Linked DNA regions of Caenorhabditis elegans. The protein of the gene in region 3 purifies or fractionates together with the protein of the main gene of each other region. This does not show direct contact. Each region holds a gene or a part of one and is shown on either strand. Other genes may lie near its edges.

What was found. Proteins that work in one complex are often made in the same cells at the same time.
Region 1: the proteins of pfd-3 (region 3) and pfd-4 fractionate together in Caenorhabditis elegans (co-fractionation; one large-scale study listed by BioGRID). This does not show direct contact.
Region 2: the proteins of pfd-3 (region 3) and pfd-2 fractionate together in Caenorhabditis elegans (co-fractionation; one large-scale study listed by BioGRID). This does not show direct contact.

Annotation. Positions count from the first base shown.
Region 1 is NC_003282.8:11,312,419-11,317,273, forward strand, and holds pfd-4 (putative prefoldin subunit 4), read left to right. Parts: upstream 1-2,788; 5' UTR 2,789-2,789; coding exon 2,790-2,876; intron 2,877-2,926; coding exon 2,927-3,058; intron 3,059-3,131; coding exon 3,132-3,293; 3' UTR 3,294-3,459; downstream 3,460-4,855. Other genes in the region: DnaJ homolog dnj-2, read right to left, coding at 296-481, 528-726, 776-873, 921-1,119, 1,164-1,377, 1,441-1,558; B0035.3 (Macro domain-containing protein), read right to left, coding at 1,797-2,000, 2,048-2,169, 2,217-2,456, 2,504-2,549. UniProt on the Caenorhabditis elegans protein: Binds specifically to cytosolic chaperonin (c-CPN) and transfers target proteins to it. Binds to nascent polypeptide chain and promotes folding in an environment in which there are many competing pathways for nonnative proteins.
Region 2 is NC_003280.10:4,324,143-4,329,680, reverse strand, and holds pfd-2 (Prefoldin subunit 2), read right to left. Parts: upstream 2,962-5,538; coding exon 2,692-2,961; intron 1,692-2,691; coding exon 1,536-1,691; 3' UTR 1,397-1,535; downstream 1-1,396. Other genes in the region: H20J04.4 (RNA helicase), read right to left, coding at 259-649; mog-2 (putative U2 small nuclear ribonucleoprotein A'), read right to left, coding at 3,814-4,345, 5,085-5,314. UniProt on the Caenorhabditis elegans protein: Binds specifically to cytosolic chaperonin (c-CPN) and transfers target proteins to it. Binds to nascent polypeptide chain and promotes folding in an environment in which there are many competing pathways for nonnative proteins.
Region 3 is NC_003279.8:12,725,444-12,731,392, reverse strand, and holds pfd-3 (putative prefoldin subunit 3), read right to left. Parts: upstream 3,257-5,949; 5' UTR 3,139-3,256; coding exon 3,082-3,138; intron 2,805-3,081; coding exon 2,535-2,804; intron 1,948-2,534; coding exon 1,717-1,947; 3' UTR 1,495-1,716; downstream 1-1,494. Other genes in the region: trm-61A (tRNA (adenine(58)-N(1))-methyltransferase catalytic subunit TRMT61A), read left to right, coding at 1-3, 87-262, 821-1,021, 1,198-1,303. UniProt on the Caenorhabditis elegans protein: Binds specifically to cytosolic chaperonin (c-CPN) and transfers target proteins to it. Binds to nascent polypeptide chain and promotes folding in an environment in which there are many competing pathways for nonnative proteins.

The sequences.
Region 1 (4,855 bases), on a different chromosome or scaffold from region 3:
TGTTAAATTATTGAATAATCCATCGATGGGTTTTTATTTTTGAAATTCCAAAAAAAAAAAGCAATTTTTATCAATTGAATAAATTATCACCCACAGTAAAAAAAGATTGAAAATGAAGAAAAAACATCAATATTGGTAAGAAAGAAGTAGATTATGCTCGCAAACTCGGAGAAACATTCGAGTTAAGTGAAAACATGAAATGCTATAAAAATTTGATGATAAAACAGCTGCATAAAGGAATAATAATTTAGAAAGAACGAGTTATAAAATGCAATAAGTAATTTTTAGTAAATATTTAATCTTCATCGACAAACGAAATAGTTCCCGCGTTTTTCATATATCTCTTATACCTTTTGTACCGACCCGATTGAGCCATTTTTTCTTGTTCCGCAGCGTCTCGTTCGGCTTTCCACGTTGCACAGTTTCGTTTCAGCCAGCATTCTCGTTCAAAAAGATCATCAATGTCTTCATCAGTGTACTTCTGAAAATTAAATTATTAACTTTTGATGATAGAAAAAAGTATTTACCTGATCGAATTCCATTTGTGAAACTCCAATGTACTTTCTAATGAGATAAAGCTTGGCGTCATCATCATATTCCTCCTTTTGAATTGCAAATCTCCAATACCAAAGTGCTGTCCATTTAATGTATCGGAATATCGTTAATGGGAAAATAATTGTGTGCCATGCGAGAGTATCGTAGATGGATTCTCGTTTGTAGCCACCCCTAAAATGTAGCTCAAATTATTTTACGAAAAATCTCAAGAATAACTGACGTGACATCAAGATTATCAATAATTATTTGCTTGATAACTTCATCATTGTCAACTCCTTTGTTCTTTTTTAATTTTCCATTCCGATCCATTTCCAGCAACTGAAAGCTAGATATTAATTACAGTGCAAGCTTAAAAATCGACCTACGCCTTTATCAATTCCATCTTTAATTGCCATATTGCGGAATTTTCCAACACCGGTTGCATATTCGATTGCTTCTGAGAACTTGTGTTTTGCAGAGAGGAATTGGAAGAGTGAAATGATAAGAATAGTTCCAACAATGACAATTCGAAGATCTACTTTTGGAGCGGCGCGAAGACGATAATATTGATAGTAATTGTAGAATCTTAAATAAAGAATATTTAAGTGTTCATATTCAGAGCGTCATACCTTTGATCAGGATGATCGAGATAATAGTCGTAATTAGTTTTTGCTTCATCATCCTTAAGTGTTTCATAAGCAGTGGCAATTACTCGGAAACGTTCTTCGGCGAGAAGCTTCTCTTCCTTATTCTTGACTCTATCTGGATGATGCTTCCTAGCCAGAGCTCTATATGCTTTAGCTAGCTTCTGCTTATCGAATTCCTCACGATTGACTTCGAGTACTGTAAATATGAATGCATTTATAGTTTTAACGTTTTCAGATCTTCATGAAAGTTTTGACTCACCATCATAACAGTTTTCTAATCCACAATAGAGCTCTGGAGCAAATCCGACCGATTCACATTCCTGGACGAAAAATGATACTAGTAAGAACAAGATGGGCGCCGCAATTGCTGAGCGCATTCTGCTGAAAAACAAAGATTGAGAAAAAATTTAAAAATGAGAACTGAAATATGAATCACCGAAAATCGGAAAATGAGAGAAAAACACAAATAATCATAGGTGAAATGTGACATGTTTATGAAGCAATCAACACCGGAAACAATGTAAACATTACGGATCAAAACCGATCTGATAGTGAGATTATGGAGTCAACATAAAATAAAAATAGTCATGTACAGTAAATGTGCAATAGAAAGTTTTAGGCGATACTTTGATCCTTTGATGCAGCATAATCACCGAAATACTTATTGTAATGCTCGTTGTCAATGTCAAGGAATGTAACAAGTACAATCCGTTCAATTGTATCATTCTTTTCAAGATACTCGGTCAGGAAATTGGTGACGGTTTTAGCGGCATCGTCATTTGGATAACCGTACACACCAGTAGAAATGCAACAGAAGGCCTGAAAATATATAATATTTGCAGTTATTTTTCAGATGAAACACTTACAATACTCTTCATCCCGTTCTCGATAGCAATATCTAGTGATGTTCTGTAACATGCAACAAGATTTTCACGCCGTTCATCTGTGACATTTCCATATACTTGTGGACCAACTGTGTGGATTATTTCTGAAAATTCCAATAAAATACGATCAAACAATGCTATAAATACTTACTTTTGATGTGATTAATATTGCATCCAGAGGTAATGACAGCATCTCCGACAGCACATCCGTTGTATTGCTGGCATTCTTCCTGTAGTTGCTTCCGTCCAGCTGCACGATGAATTGCACCATCAACGCCACCACCTCCAGCTAATCGACTGTTTGCTGCATTGACAATTGCGTCGACGGAAAGTTTAGTAATATCTCCATCCCAGACACTGATACGGCCCAGAACGTTTTTGGCAACCTTGACTGAAAATTGTGTACTATTTTAGAATTATGAAACGCCTGAAGCTTACATTTTTCAAAGAGAGTTGGAATTTCTGAAATTTTAGCTGCTGCCATTTTTTATCAGCCTTAAATTTGAACTGATAGTGACTTAAAAACAAAACAAATTAGGATAAAACAACGCGTGGAAGAAATTGTTCACGAGGACTACACGCAACATGGACTAGAATTTCGTGCGGCCGTGGCTGAGTTTTCTTATTTTTATGTTTCTCTCTCCAGAATTTTCTGTTTAATATCTTTTAATGTTGTTTCTTCGTTGTTTCTTTAATTAAATCTTTGAATTAAAAATAATTTAGAATGCCGGAACACACGAAAGTTTCTGCTGAAGACCAAGCGCTTCTCAATAAATTCGCTCGGTCATACCAAACACAAACCCAGTTAAAAGTACGTTTTTTTTTAAATTTTACATTAAAGTTTCTCTTCTTTAATTTCAGGCAGACGTTAAAGAAGCTAAAACACTCATTGACAATATCAATGAAGCAAGTGATGAAATTTTGTTGCTCGATGATGAGGATTCAGCATCAATTCCATGCAGAATTGGAAGCTGCTTCGTTCATTTCAATGGGGTGAGCAGTTTTTTTTTTAATTTGAATTGAGAATTAACGTTTGGTTTACACGAAAGTAGTGATTGGTTTTCAGGATAGTCTGAATGAGCATTTGGAAGGAAAGAAGACAACAGCAGAGAAGGTTTTGTCTGAGAAAACCTCCGAGTTGGATGCAATCTCAGCGGACATGGAGCAAATCAAGAAGGTTTTGTACGCCAAATTCGGAGATCAGATCAATTTGGACGCTGAAGAATAATCTATAAATTCTAATTTCTTATTTTGCTCGATTTTGTATCTTTTCCGTTGAAGCTTTCATATATAAAAATTATCTCAATTTAAAAATTGCTTTTCTCACCTTTTTCACAACGTGTGCTCACTGTTCACTGTTTCCGCGTATTTTGCTGATGAATTTTTTCGACCGATTTTCCTTATCACGAATGGCACCACCCACTTGTGGGTCACACCAGATCCTAAATATCAATATAGTGGACGGGAAGAGGAAGGTTTTTTCGTGTTTGGTGTTCATTTTAGTTTACATGTTTTGTTTCCCATTGCTCTTTATTTATAGAGGAGACGCTCGCCCACGTAATATAATAGCATTTTGGAAAAATCCATTATCTTTCAGACAATCTTATCATGATTTCCACAATAGACTGGCTAGAATGTAGCATTCTAAATATTTGAATTTAACAGAAAATATTCAATTTCTCTTTAAAAAAATACTTGAAAATTAATTATATTCCCAAATTGGCAACATTCTTTCCCGATTGTCTTTCTGTCCATTTAATTTGTCTGCCCTTTCTTTTCTCACCTTTTTTATCCGTTTCTTTCTTTGTCACCTCCGAAGTTTTGTCAGCATTTTCCGTTTTTTTCTCCTCATATTTTGTTTGCACTTTTCACCTTCTAAAAAAATGATCGGCAGAGACACAAATAAATGTGGCCATTCGTGTGCTCCGTTTTCCAAATGAAACCCGATTGGCAGAATTTATGGTTGAAAATGCATAGTTATTTAGGAGTTGCAAAGAACAGTTTTCATTCTTCTTTTTCTTTGTCTTCTTGTTAATTTGGTAAACTGATCAGACGTTAATCAAATTGATAAACTTTCAAGTTCAGTGATTTTTGATTTGTTTTCTGAAAACGAAATTAGTTTTTTCTCTGATAGACTAAGTCTTCGAAGAATTCATCTTCCAGATAAAATCCAAAAAAAATGTGTTCCAGAATATCCTAGTCGGTCAACTAAAAGTCAAGAACCATAGATTAAATCTAGAGTTACAAAGTTTCGTCTCTTCTCCAGAGTCAAGTTACTCGAGTTTTTATGTTTCCTAGAGAAATACATTGTTTCTTTTCATTGTCGATCAATGTCGCCCAGAGAACATTATTTGTCATGGTTACCACTCGCACACACTACACAATTTCATTCAGTCATCATTTTTTGTGACCCGAGAAGATTTCAGTAAATATTTTCATGTTTGTAAAGAGACTGGCGCATCCACTTTTCTCTTACTGTTTCTTTCTTCTCTCGCTGCCCTGTGAAAAAAATGGAAGTGGAGTAAAAAGTGACCGATTTATAGTGTTGTTCCAGTTGTTCCAATTCATTTATATTGTAGACTGCGGTTCGCTACTAGGTATATGATTCGAAAGGAAAAATTACATTTTTTAGTGCTAGAAATTAACATTATTCCATTAAATGTAACTAGCTGAAAGTAAGCAGTTTATTACTCTGCCAGTAAAAAAGAATTGCGCAGAATCATTATGAAGTACATCAATATATCAATTAACGTATTTCTTTTTGATTTTTCGTTGTATAAATGAAACAAT
Region 2 (5,538 bases), on a different chromosome or scaffold from region 3:
GGCGAAATCGAAAATTATTCAATTTTTCTTTCTTTTTTCCATAAAAATTATAAAAAATTTCCCGCTTTAATTTTCCTAGTTTTTTTCAGGGAAAATTTCGATGGAAAATTAGGAAATTTTCGATTTTCCTTTAAAAACAAAAGTAAAAGAAAAATCGAGAATTATCCGATTTTTCTAGTTTTTTGAAGGCGAATTCGAACACTTCCTATTTTTTCTAGCTTTTTTTCATTGAAAACCAAAAATTTCCCGATTCCTTACCTAAAATATCGCTTCCTTCGAGAATTTTTGGAATACAAGCCGCCTGAACTGGCGTCGCCGTCTTAATTTGCATAGTTTGAAGCTGTTGAGTGATCCAGGAGCACACGCCGAGTTGGGAGAATTTCTTAGTTGTCATGTTGTCTTCGGAGATTTGAATGGGCTTTGGGGTGTCATCTGATGACTTGAATTCATCGCCTTCTTCTCCTTCAGATTCTTCTTCATCTTCATCTGAAGCTTCATCCTCCTCATCCTCTACATCTTCGCCGTCTTCAAATTCCTCAAATTCTTCATTTTTCACGGATTTTGAGCTCGTAGATGGCTTTTCCTGCTCTTCATCCATCTCCAAATCATCATCGTCGTCCGATAGAATTGCATCGCACACTTTTGACATGGTTTTTGGCTGAAATTTCAGATTTTTTGATTTTTTGTTGAAAAATCAAAAAAAAAATTCATCGTTTCTTGATTATTCGGTATTTTTTGAAATTTTATTGGAAAATTTCCATAATTTCCAATTAATTTTCCGACTTTTTTGAAAGAATTTCATTTTTTCCATAATTTCTTCTTTTTTCTCGATTTTTTGTTCGAAAAATCGATATTTTTTTCATTTTTCTAAAAAAATTGAGAAAGTTCGAATTTTTAAAACTTTTTTTGTTGAGTTTTTTGACTAAATTTATTGATTTTTCTTCACTTTTTGCAGTTTTTTATAATTTGAAACATGGTTTCCCATTTTTCCAGACATTTTTTCTCAAAAAACTGTAAAAGTACCCTAAAAATCGATAGTTTAACATTAAATTATACTTTTTATGGGAAAAAATTTGAAAAAAAAAACCATTTTTTAAGTTAGTAATCAATCAAAAAATGACAAACTTGAAAAATAGTTTTTTTTTCAATTTTTTTCGCAAAAAATATGATTGAATGTTAAATTATCGGTTTTAGGCTACTTTTTCAGTTTTTTTCGAAAAAAAATTCTGAAAATGTGAAAACGATGAAAAAATCGATGAATTTTGTTGAATAACGGGGAAAATATCGAAATTTGGAAAAAAAACTTATTAAACCAAAAAATGTTTTTTTTTTCAAAAAAAAAAAGATAAAATTGGATTTCAAAAACCATAATAAAGCAGTTAAAAATCGAAAAAAAATTCAAATTCAATTTATGCAAGACTTAAGTTCTTTTAACGGGAGCATATAGAAAAAAGGCAACAAACAGAGTAAGAAAAAACGTATGAAAACATGAAAAAGCAGTAGGAAATCGAGAAAAAAATTAAAGCAGGGGAAATTTAAGCTTTTGGCAATTGTCCAAGAGCTTCAGCTTTTCTCAGCTCGGCAGATTCTTTCTCAGTGAGCAGACGAATGTTGTGTGTAGTTTTGTGAGTGTTCAGCTCTTTTCCCTTTTCGACGAGCTGATCGTTGAGCTGCTTCGAGACGATTGTCAACTGCAAAATTTTATTATTTTCGGTAATTCTGGTCAGTTGCACCATGTTTTTCTGCTGAAAATTTGTGACAAAATATAGAAAATCACTCGATTTCTCTTTAAATTACACTATTTTCAATCGAAATATCCAAGATAGAGCTCAAAAATTGCCTGAAAGTTGAACAAAATTCAACTTTCAGACCATTTTTGACCGTTTTCTCAAATATTTTCGTTGAAATTACTGTTATTTTAAGATTAAACCGTTAATTTTCCATGTTTTGACACTGATTTTCAATGAATTTTCGCATTAAAAATGGCAAAATGGCTGTGAAATCATGGTCTTGTGTCGATTTACGCAGCTCGTGTACTCCACGAGGAGAAGTCTGTTTTTTTTTTCAATTTTTTGTATTTAACCATATTAAAATCGTATTTTTACAGTATTTCCCAGCGCAAATTGGGGGTTTCGCTATAAAAAAAACGGAAAATCTGGTTTTTTTTTTCAATTTTTAGGTGTAAAAACGCGAAATTTTGCGCTAAAACTACGATGTCTGATCTCGACACGACATTTGTTTCGAATACATGACGCTGCGCACCTTTAAAGAGTACCCGAATTTGCAAAGTTTCCATCGATTTGTTTATATTTTTTCATTCGATTTGTTAAAATTGAAGTGTTTTATCGAAAAACTACGGAAAATCAATATAAATTCCACAAATTTCAAATTACAGTACTCCTTGAAGGCGCATAGCTTCCAGATACCGTATTTTTGGTGCAACAAATCGGAAAATTCAGTGTTTCAGATGAAAAAATATTTTTTTTTGCTTCAAAAAACTGTCAATTTTCATCGGAAATACTGTAAATCCCCAATTTAAAACGCGTTAAATATAGAAAAAAGGTCGAAAATCAGGTATTTCAGCCGGAATCTGTAAAATCTTCTCCACGAGGAGTACACAAACTCCGTAAATCGACACATGACTGTTTCCTCCGCCTTTTCTTCTATTTTTCCCGACTTTCAAATCCTCACATTAGCGATATTATTCTGCAAATCCGGAATAACATCCTTGACAGTATACTCGACAAGTGTATCACTAATCAAACGGAAGCATTTCTGATCCGGTTCAAGATCCTTGATCACTTCGAGAACACGTCCAAATTCACGTCGTTCCTCTTCGATTCGAGTCACTTCGGCGGCGATATCCTGTTGTTGATCACGTAGAGCCTTGAACTTTTCGACGACTTTTCGTTGCTCTTCTTGCTCGGCTGGAGTGGCGGCGGCGGTTTGAGCGGCCGACATCTGGAAGTTGTGGATTTTTTGAAAATAATTGTTTTAATGGTAGAGAGCCAGTTTTTTTTTGGTTTTTTTTGCCAAAACTGACCAAAAAAAATTTTTATAATTGAAAAAAAAAGATTTTTCAAAATATTTTGCAAAAAAACTAGTGAAAGCCGATTTATTTTTGAATTTCTCACCGATTTTCTACATTTTTGTATTTTCCGGCTTTTTTTATCGGTTTTTCATTGTCACATTTTCAGTCATTTTTCAGCAAAAAAAGTTGAAAACTCTAAAATTAGCCAAAAATCGATAGTTTTTGTGAAAAAAAAAGTCTAAAATTATCGATTTTTAGGGTAATTTTAGAGTTTTAACGCATTTTTTTAAGGGTTTTGAAGTTTTTTTTTTGCGGAAAAATGACAAAAAAACACAAAAAATGGATTATTTTAGGCGAGAATTCAAAAAAAAATCCGCGTTTTTTCCAATTTTTAAACCTTTTTTTTCCAAATAGATATTTGAAGGCGCTGGGAAGTTCCCAGTGGGAACCTCTCAAAATTAATAAAATAATAAAAAATAGCCGGAAAACACAAAAATGGCTGAAAAAGGATTTTTTTCTAACTTTTTGTTGCAAAAATTTCAAAAAATCAAATATAAAAAGGCACGGGGAACCTTTGAAAAATCGATAAAAATATCAAAAATAATAGGGGAAATATTGTTTTATGGTATATAAAAATTACAAAAAAAGGGAAGACAGACTGGGAAAAAATTGGAAAAAAATGAGAATATAAATAAAACAAGGAGTATCATTTTAACATTAAAAAAATCAAATAAAATAAATAAATAAATTTTAGCAGCACATTCTGCAATTTTCAAGATTTTTCAAGACTCCATCGCTTCCCCATCGGCACCATTCTGATCCATCTGACGATTCCATCCCTTTTCCGGAACCTTTCCCGATGCCAGAATCGACTGAAGATAGTTGACTTCACTGAGTGACTTGGCATTCTTGATCGCTTCCTTGATCTTCTCCCGATCTTCATCAGTAAGCCGAGCACCTCCACCCGAACTATTCTCATTTGGTTCAATTTCTGATGGATCTTCTGTATGAACACTCTTCTGAATCGCATCTCTCGCCTTCTTTCCACTTTTTCCTTTGAACATCTTCTTCGCAGCTTCACGTTCTGTCAGTCTGACTCGATTGAAGTCAATCACTCGAACCGTCGGCAGCTTGTAGATCATATACATCCGATAATTGTCCTTGTGAGTTATCGGATTTCCGATAAATGTCACGTACTCGAGCTTCTTGCATTCTGCCAGTGGCTCAATGTCTCCGAGCTCGCAAATGTTGTTGTTGGTCAGTGCAAGAGTTTTGAGATTTGGAAGTTTTGTGGCAATGTCGGGTGCGATATAGCTGAAAATATGGGGTAAATTGGTGGGAATGGAGCTCGAAAATGTGGGAAAAAAGCAGTTTTGCAATGAAAAATGGAGGGTTTTTAATTTTTTTTCAGGAAATAGTAACCATAAAATTTAAATTTTTGAAGAATAAATTAGAGAAAGTATTTTAAAAATTTGAAAATGACCAAAATTTTAGGATATTTTCTGAAAAATCGATTTTTTCCCCTACTTTCCGAAAAAAACTTCGATTTTTCGAAAAATGGCTTAAAATTTTTCGAACTTTTTCAGGAAAAAAATTATATTTTTCCTATGTTCTTTCATAAAAAACTGATTTTTTCGTTTTTTTTTTTTGGAAAAAATAGCGAAATCCGGCTAAATCTGAATTTTTCGCCAACTTGCCGAAAAAAAAATTTGGAAATTTCATGAAATTTCAGAGCAAAGAAACGTTTTTTTTTCAATTTTTTAAATTCAATTTAGGGAAGTTTGTCAGAATTTTCCGGTTTAAAATTTTTTAAAACCCTATTTCAAGCTGAAATCACCGAATTCTGCCAGGAAACCCCATTTTTCGGTACTTTTCAGTCGAAAATAACCAAAGTTGGGTACAAATCGACTGGAAAAGCACTAAAACACGGATAAATTGGCAAAATTGGAATTTTTAGCTAAAATTTGGGCTTTTCCAGCAAAATATGGTGCAAAATTCTATATTTTTAGCTAAATTTAGCCACTTTTCGCTCGTTTTTCGGAAAACTACGCACTTGATTCGATTATTATGAAGATACAGCGTATTCAAACGAGAAAACGTCGGAAAATTGTCCAATTTCCTGATATCGTTGTCAGTCAGATCGATGACATCGAATTGATCCCTCGTCACTCCCATATTCTCGATTACGGGGATTTTTTGGCCGCGCAAGTTGATCTCCCGCATATTGACCGAATTGACGAATTGTGGACGCTCGGCGAACAGCTCAGTCGTGAGACGGACCATTTTTCGCTGGAATTAGGGGGTTTTCAATGTAAAAAATAACAAAAAAACATAGAAGATAGACAAAAAGTCGGCTGCAAACCGGTTAAACATCAAGAAAACTTGAAAAAAATATATATGAAAATTACAGAAAAAAAATACATTTTACATAATATATCACACGAAATATTTAACAGTTGGACTATATTTTACATGAGATCAAATTATTCCACAAAATAGTCTATTTA
Region 3 (5,949 bases):
AAGGTTATTTGAGCAAAAAAAAAATTTTGAAAAAAAATTTCGCAAAATTTTTTTTTTTTTGGAAAATTAATTTCAAACATTTCCAGGTTCATGGCCTAGGATCCGTGACGACGGCCGTCGTTCGAAATGTCTGCACCTCTGGATTCCACGTGGAAAACGCTGCCGACGGGGTATTCCTGGATGTACCGGCACCGTGGGAGGCAATCCCATTCGCCGCAAAATCAATTTTCCGGGCTCGTGGAGGTCGTCTAGTGTCTTTTAGGTAGCTATCAGTGGAAAAATTGAGCCTGATTAAGACTAAATGGGCCTGGGACCCGAAATATTGCCGAAAAATTTCGCTTTTTTTTTTAGCTTTTTCGGTTTTTTTTTCCAGTGAAAATCGGATAAAAATTGGAAAATTAACACAAATTTCAAACTTTTATCAAATTTTGTTCGTAACAATAAATAGAAAAGGGAAACAAAAGTTTTTTTTGGAATATCGAAAATTCAAAAATTTCGATTTTTCGAGGTGCTTAAAAAAATTTTTTTGAATTTTTTTGTAAAAAACTGAACATTTTGGTCATTTTTGTTAATTTCCAATTTTCTGCAAGAAAACAGAAAAAAACGAAAAATTTTGATTTTGTGAAAAAAACTGGAAATTTTGGCAATTTTCATAAAATTTTAATTCAAAAAAATTGTTTTTTTTTACTTTTTCGTTTATCTCAGAAAAAACCGAAAAATTTTACATTTTCCGGCGACTCCCTGCAAAAATTGAACCCGAAACCCTCGTTTTCAGCCAATTTCCCCAATTTTTGCTCCAAACCCCCGATTTTTCTTACAGTCCGTGCCTGGAACAAGTCCAACGTGCCTGCCTAGCCATGGCGGCCGCCGGTTTCGTGAGCATCGAGACGATTGAGCTCGTTCCCGAGCAGAAGAAGATCGTCAGTCAACACCGGCAGACGCTTGAAGAGTTTGAAGAGCTCGGTGATGCTTATCCGAAGGAACGGAAGAGAAATGTCGATGGAACAATCGTTGAGCAAAGGTTTGGGCATTTTCCATTGATTTCTGGCTGCTGAGATGTTGATTTTCGAGCTCAGGACCCTTGGTTTACCCTAAAAAAATTGAAAAAGAACCAATAAAAATATTTCGACCACAGTGGGGACTCGAACCCCGGAGTGAAAATCCAGGCCATCGAGCTAAAATTGTGCAAATTTTCAGCAGCTCCGCCATTCCACGTATCACAATTGCAATCGTCTATCCATATTCTCAGCCAACACACACTGGGTACCTGACTCATGCCACGATGCTCCCGGTCGCCGAATAATTTATTTTTTTAATTTGATTGTTGATTTTTTAAATTTTTGTTGCTGTTAAATTTTTTGAATTTTTGAATTTCGTGAGAAAAATTGCAAATTTCAAGCTAAAAACGGGAAAAAATCACGATTTTTGGAGAAAATCTTTTGAAAAATAGTGAAAAATATCCAATTTTAGTCAAATAATATGGGAAAATCGATTTTTGTTTTCAAAATTTCTGCACTTTTTTGGATTTTTGAATTTTATGAAAAATTGGCGAAAAATTATAGCAAAATTTAAAAGCAAATCGGGGGGATGTGGCGGGACAAAAATACGGAAAATTCAACAAAAATTCAGCAGAAACAATCAAAAAATGGGATTTTAAAGGGGATTTCAAGAGATTTTTCGGGCGAAAAACGGGGAAAATTGTGTAATTTTGATCAATTATTTCGCTCCATTATTGACAGCGAGAGCGGCACGACGTTTATTAACTCCAAAATTGACAATATGGGACATGTTGACTTCGGTTGTGGTGATTTGATCCTTAATATATGACAATTCGTTTGTCAGCTCGTCGACCACTTTTTGAACGGAGCCACGGTTTTTGTCGAGCAGTTTTCGAGCATTTTCAAGGTCATATTCGACCATTACGTTGGCTCCAAGCCAGATTGATACCTGGAAATTTCGGGAATTTTAGAGGGTTTTTCTGAAAATTGAATTATTGAGCCATTTTTAGGGCTGAAAATCAGAATTTTTAATGTTTTTCCGGGAAAAATTGCTAAAAAATTATAATTCTGGGTTTTTGGGAGGAAATTGCTTTTTAAAATACGAAATTTTGAGTTTTTTCGATAAAAATTGCCGAAAATTGCTGAAAGTTGGTTTTTTGAAGTTTTTCGCATCAAAAATTGATTTTTTTTTTGAAAAATAGCTAGAAAAAAATATTGTGAAGTTTCCCTGTGCAAGTTGACTAAAAATTCTAAAATTCAGCCTTTTTTAATGCTGAAATTGGCTTAAAATGAGGATTTTTAGGTATTTTCTTGGGAAAAAAAAAATTAAAGTCAAAAATTCAAATTTTTGCGGTTTTCAAGTGCCAATTTCCTTAAAAATGGGGTTTTCTGGCATTTTTGTGTTAAAATTGGTTGAAAAATCACATTTTTTGTGAATTTTCGAGGAAAAAATTGTGGGAACTTGATTTTAGGCGATTTTTCCTTGAAAATATCGATTTCCAGCTATTTTTCTTGAATTTTCAGCGTTTTTTCTACCTTCTCGGGCTTCTGAACAGTGGCTTTTGTGTAGACATCATCGGAGAGCAGGAAAGTCGTCTCGAACGACTCATCGGCGGCTCTTTTCGCGATTAATGTGTCGATAATGCTCAAACTGTTCTCGAATTCCGGGATTTTTTCGCTCATTCGTACTTTTTGAGCGAGCATCGATGATTCGACGTATTTGTACTTTCCGTATTTCTCACGGAGCACAACTTCGGCTTCCTCGATCGAAAGCTTCTCCTTTGTGAGCCATGACTCGACGTCTTCCTGAAAAAAAATGGGGTTCAGAGAGGAATTTGTGAATTTTCTAATATTTTTTAAAGATTTTTCACTAAAATTCCAGAAAATTTCCATAACAAACTCCAATTTTTGTTTGAAAAATAGGATTTGACATTTTTTTCCCGAATTTTTCAGTTTTGAGGGAAAACTTAGTTTTTTGAGGAAATTCTTGAGACTTCTTCCAAAATTCAATGGAAAATACTGGTTTACTGGATTTTTTCTCGAGTTTTTAGAGATTTTCAATTTTTTAAATTTTCCGACTTACAATGAGCTCGCTTTTTGGGATTCCACGTGCTGATAGACTGTCCGCTGTGTCCGACATGATTTTTCAATGAAAATTTGCGAAAAAACGCAAAAAATTCGAGGAAAATCGGTAAAAATTGAGCGTAGAAATTCCGGGGAAAAAGAAAATTCCAGTTGACGCGTTTTTCGATCCCAGTAAGTGCGCCAGCACTCGCCTTGGCGCGTTTCTCGACGAGAACCAGCGAGAGAGTGCGGGGAGACATTGAGACGCAGAGATTTTTAATGGAAAATCGCAGGAAGTAGCTGAAAATCCCTGAAAATTCAATTTTTTTTCTAAAAAAAAGATAAATTTCAAATTAAAAATATCATTAACCAAACTCTGCGTCCATCACACAAATCGGTTGCGGTGGAAAAAAACGAAATCGGATACGGTGGATGAGCGGAAGCTTCAAGTGGCCCGCGGGAAAGCTTTTGAGCTTTTGAGCACATCTTTGTGAAGTTTCTATCCGCCAAAGCCACTACAAAGACTGTATCGATGGGTATTGTGTGCAGATTTCCGGAAACCGAGCCGTATCTTTTCCAAAATTCTCATTTTTTCGCCAATTTTCTGTCGTTTAGGATGGAGATTTTTGCTTTTGTACGTTTTTTTGTGGAATATTTGAAAATTTTCTAAAATTGCTTTTATTTCTCAAAAAAGAAACTTTAAAAATCAGGTCTAAAACCCTTAAAAATGTGATTTTTCTTATATGGCCTAGAATTTCAAAAGTTAGGCCATGAATAAAATTTTCAGCATTACTCAATTCAGAGTTCTCCCCGCTGAGAACTTTCAAAAAGTATAATCAAGCCATACTTTGAAATTTTCAAAAAAAAACCCTTATGCGCCTTTAATTTTTTTTCGCAGCGAGACCCAAAACATGTCAATATGGGTGTCATTTCAAAGCTCTCAACGAGCTTAATATGATTTTGATATTCATTCTGAGAATAACCCAAGTTTTCGAAAAAATAGTTTAATATCCAAAAAAAGTATTTTCAGCTGCTATTAGAAACTTCCGGGGGTAAATGACGAGTAACTCCACCCTTCTCACTTAAATATTCCGCCTGGTGCCGGATGGCTGCCGAAATACGTCAAACTTCTATTTTAGCCCCCCGTTGCTGCTCCGTTTTTGCTGAAATTGAGCTGGAATTTCGTAGTTACTAATTTTTCGGTTCTTTAGAAAATTTCCAGTTCTCAGAGCTATTTTAGGCCAGAAAATTTTCAATAAATCATTTTTTCCAACGTGTGTGACAGGTGATGTGATTAGAAAATTTTTAGTTTTTAATCTGAAATTTTTTTTACTCCAAAAAGGTTTTTTTCAATCAATCAAATCCGAAACAATTTGAAAAACGTACTATTTTTTTGTTTTTTCCCGAAAGTTAAATTTTTTTTAATAAAAAACGTTTCGAGGACTAGCTTTCATATTTTTAAATCTAAGATTTGGCTGAACTAGGCCATTTTATCTCGGCCACGGCCGGTGTCGATTTACGACGCGTAGGGGTTCGCTTTTAATATACAACTATTTTTTGTCCTTCTGTTTCTGAAAAAAATACATCAAAATTGGAGAGCATGGTTCTGGAAATTGTCGGAGTAGGTCTCAACGCGAAAAAGGTTTAAAGGTACATAGGTATTGCGAAATATTTCGAAATTTCGAATTGGCGTGAAAGTAGCCGCTGACCTATTATCAATACTTTTGCAAAGAAGTTCAACGGCGCATAGAGTTTTCGCAAGTTGAGTTGAATAGGAATTCAGTGTTTTTTCGATTAAAAAAATCATGGCCTAACTTCAGATTTGTAGGCCACTAAGCCTTACCGCCCCTGTAACCAAACGGACACATGGTGCCAGGCTGTCCCATTACGGTTTGATCTACAAAAAATGCGGGATTTTTTTGCAAAAAAAATGTGACGTCAGCACGTTCTTAATCATGCGAAATCAGTTGAGAACTTTGCGTCTCTTCTCCCGCGTTTTTTGTAAATCTACGTAGATCAAGCCGATATGGGACACTCTGACACCATGTGTATGGATTCTCCCGGAAGATCAGAATCCCCATTAGATGCAGACTTCCAAGCTCTCGGAGCACAAAAAAATCCCAACTAAAAGTACTTTATTCCATAAAAACACAAAATCCAAAACGTTAAGTTCCAATTCGAGGCTCCACTTGCCAATGGAAGGACTTCAGTTTCTTCATGATCCGCTGGATTAGCTGGAGCTTCTGCAACCTCCGAGGGTTCCGTGAAAGCTAGTGGAGCTGCGGAGGTGGTGGAAGCCGTTGATGGAAGCTTTGTAGTACTTGTTGAAGGCTTGGTTGGAAGATCAAAAGGTGTAGCCGTTGCTGGAGCTCCTGCGGCTTCCGAGTGTTCCGTGGAAGCTAGTCGAGCTGTGGATGTTTTGGATGCTGTTTTTGGAAGCTTTGTAGTACTCGTTGAGCTCAATTTTCGAGTGCCTGTGATCGTAGTAATTTCTCTCCCCGAAGGTTTGGTTGGAAGATCAGCAGGTGTAGCCGTTGCTAAAGCTTCTGTTGCCTCCGATGGTTCCGTGGAAGCTTGTGGAGCTGCGAAGGTGGTGGATGTTGTTGTTGGAAGCTTTGCAGTAGTAGTACTCGTTGAGGTCAATGATCGGGTTCTTGAAGGCTTGGTTGGAAGATCAGAAGGTGTAGTTGTTGCCTTCCAAACCGATGAGGTGGGAAGTTTAGAGGATCTAGTTGAAGGAGCTGTGGAAGTTTGAGCCGGGCCTTCACAAATTCCAGCCAATCCACAAAGCGCATAGTTGTCCGGCTTCAGGAACCATGCCGAGTCTCCTGTAGGTGATCCTAAAAGAAATTTAAGCTGCTCGTAAGATCTTCTCAACAACTCACGT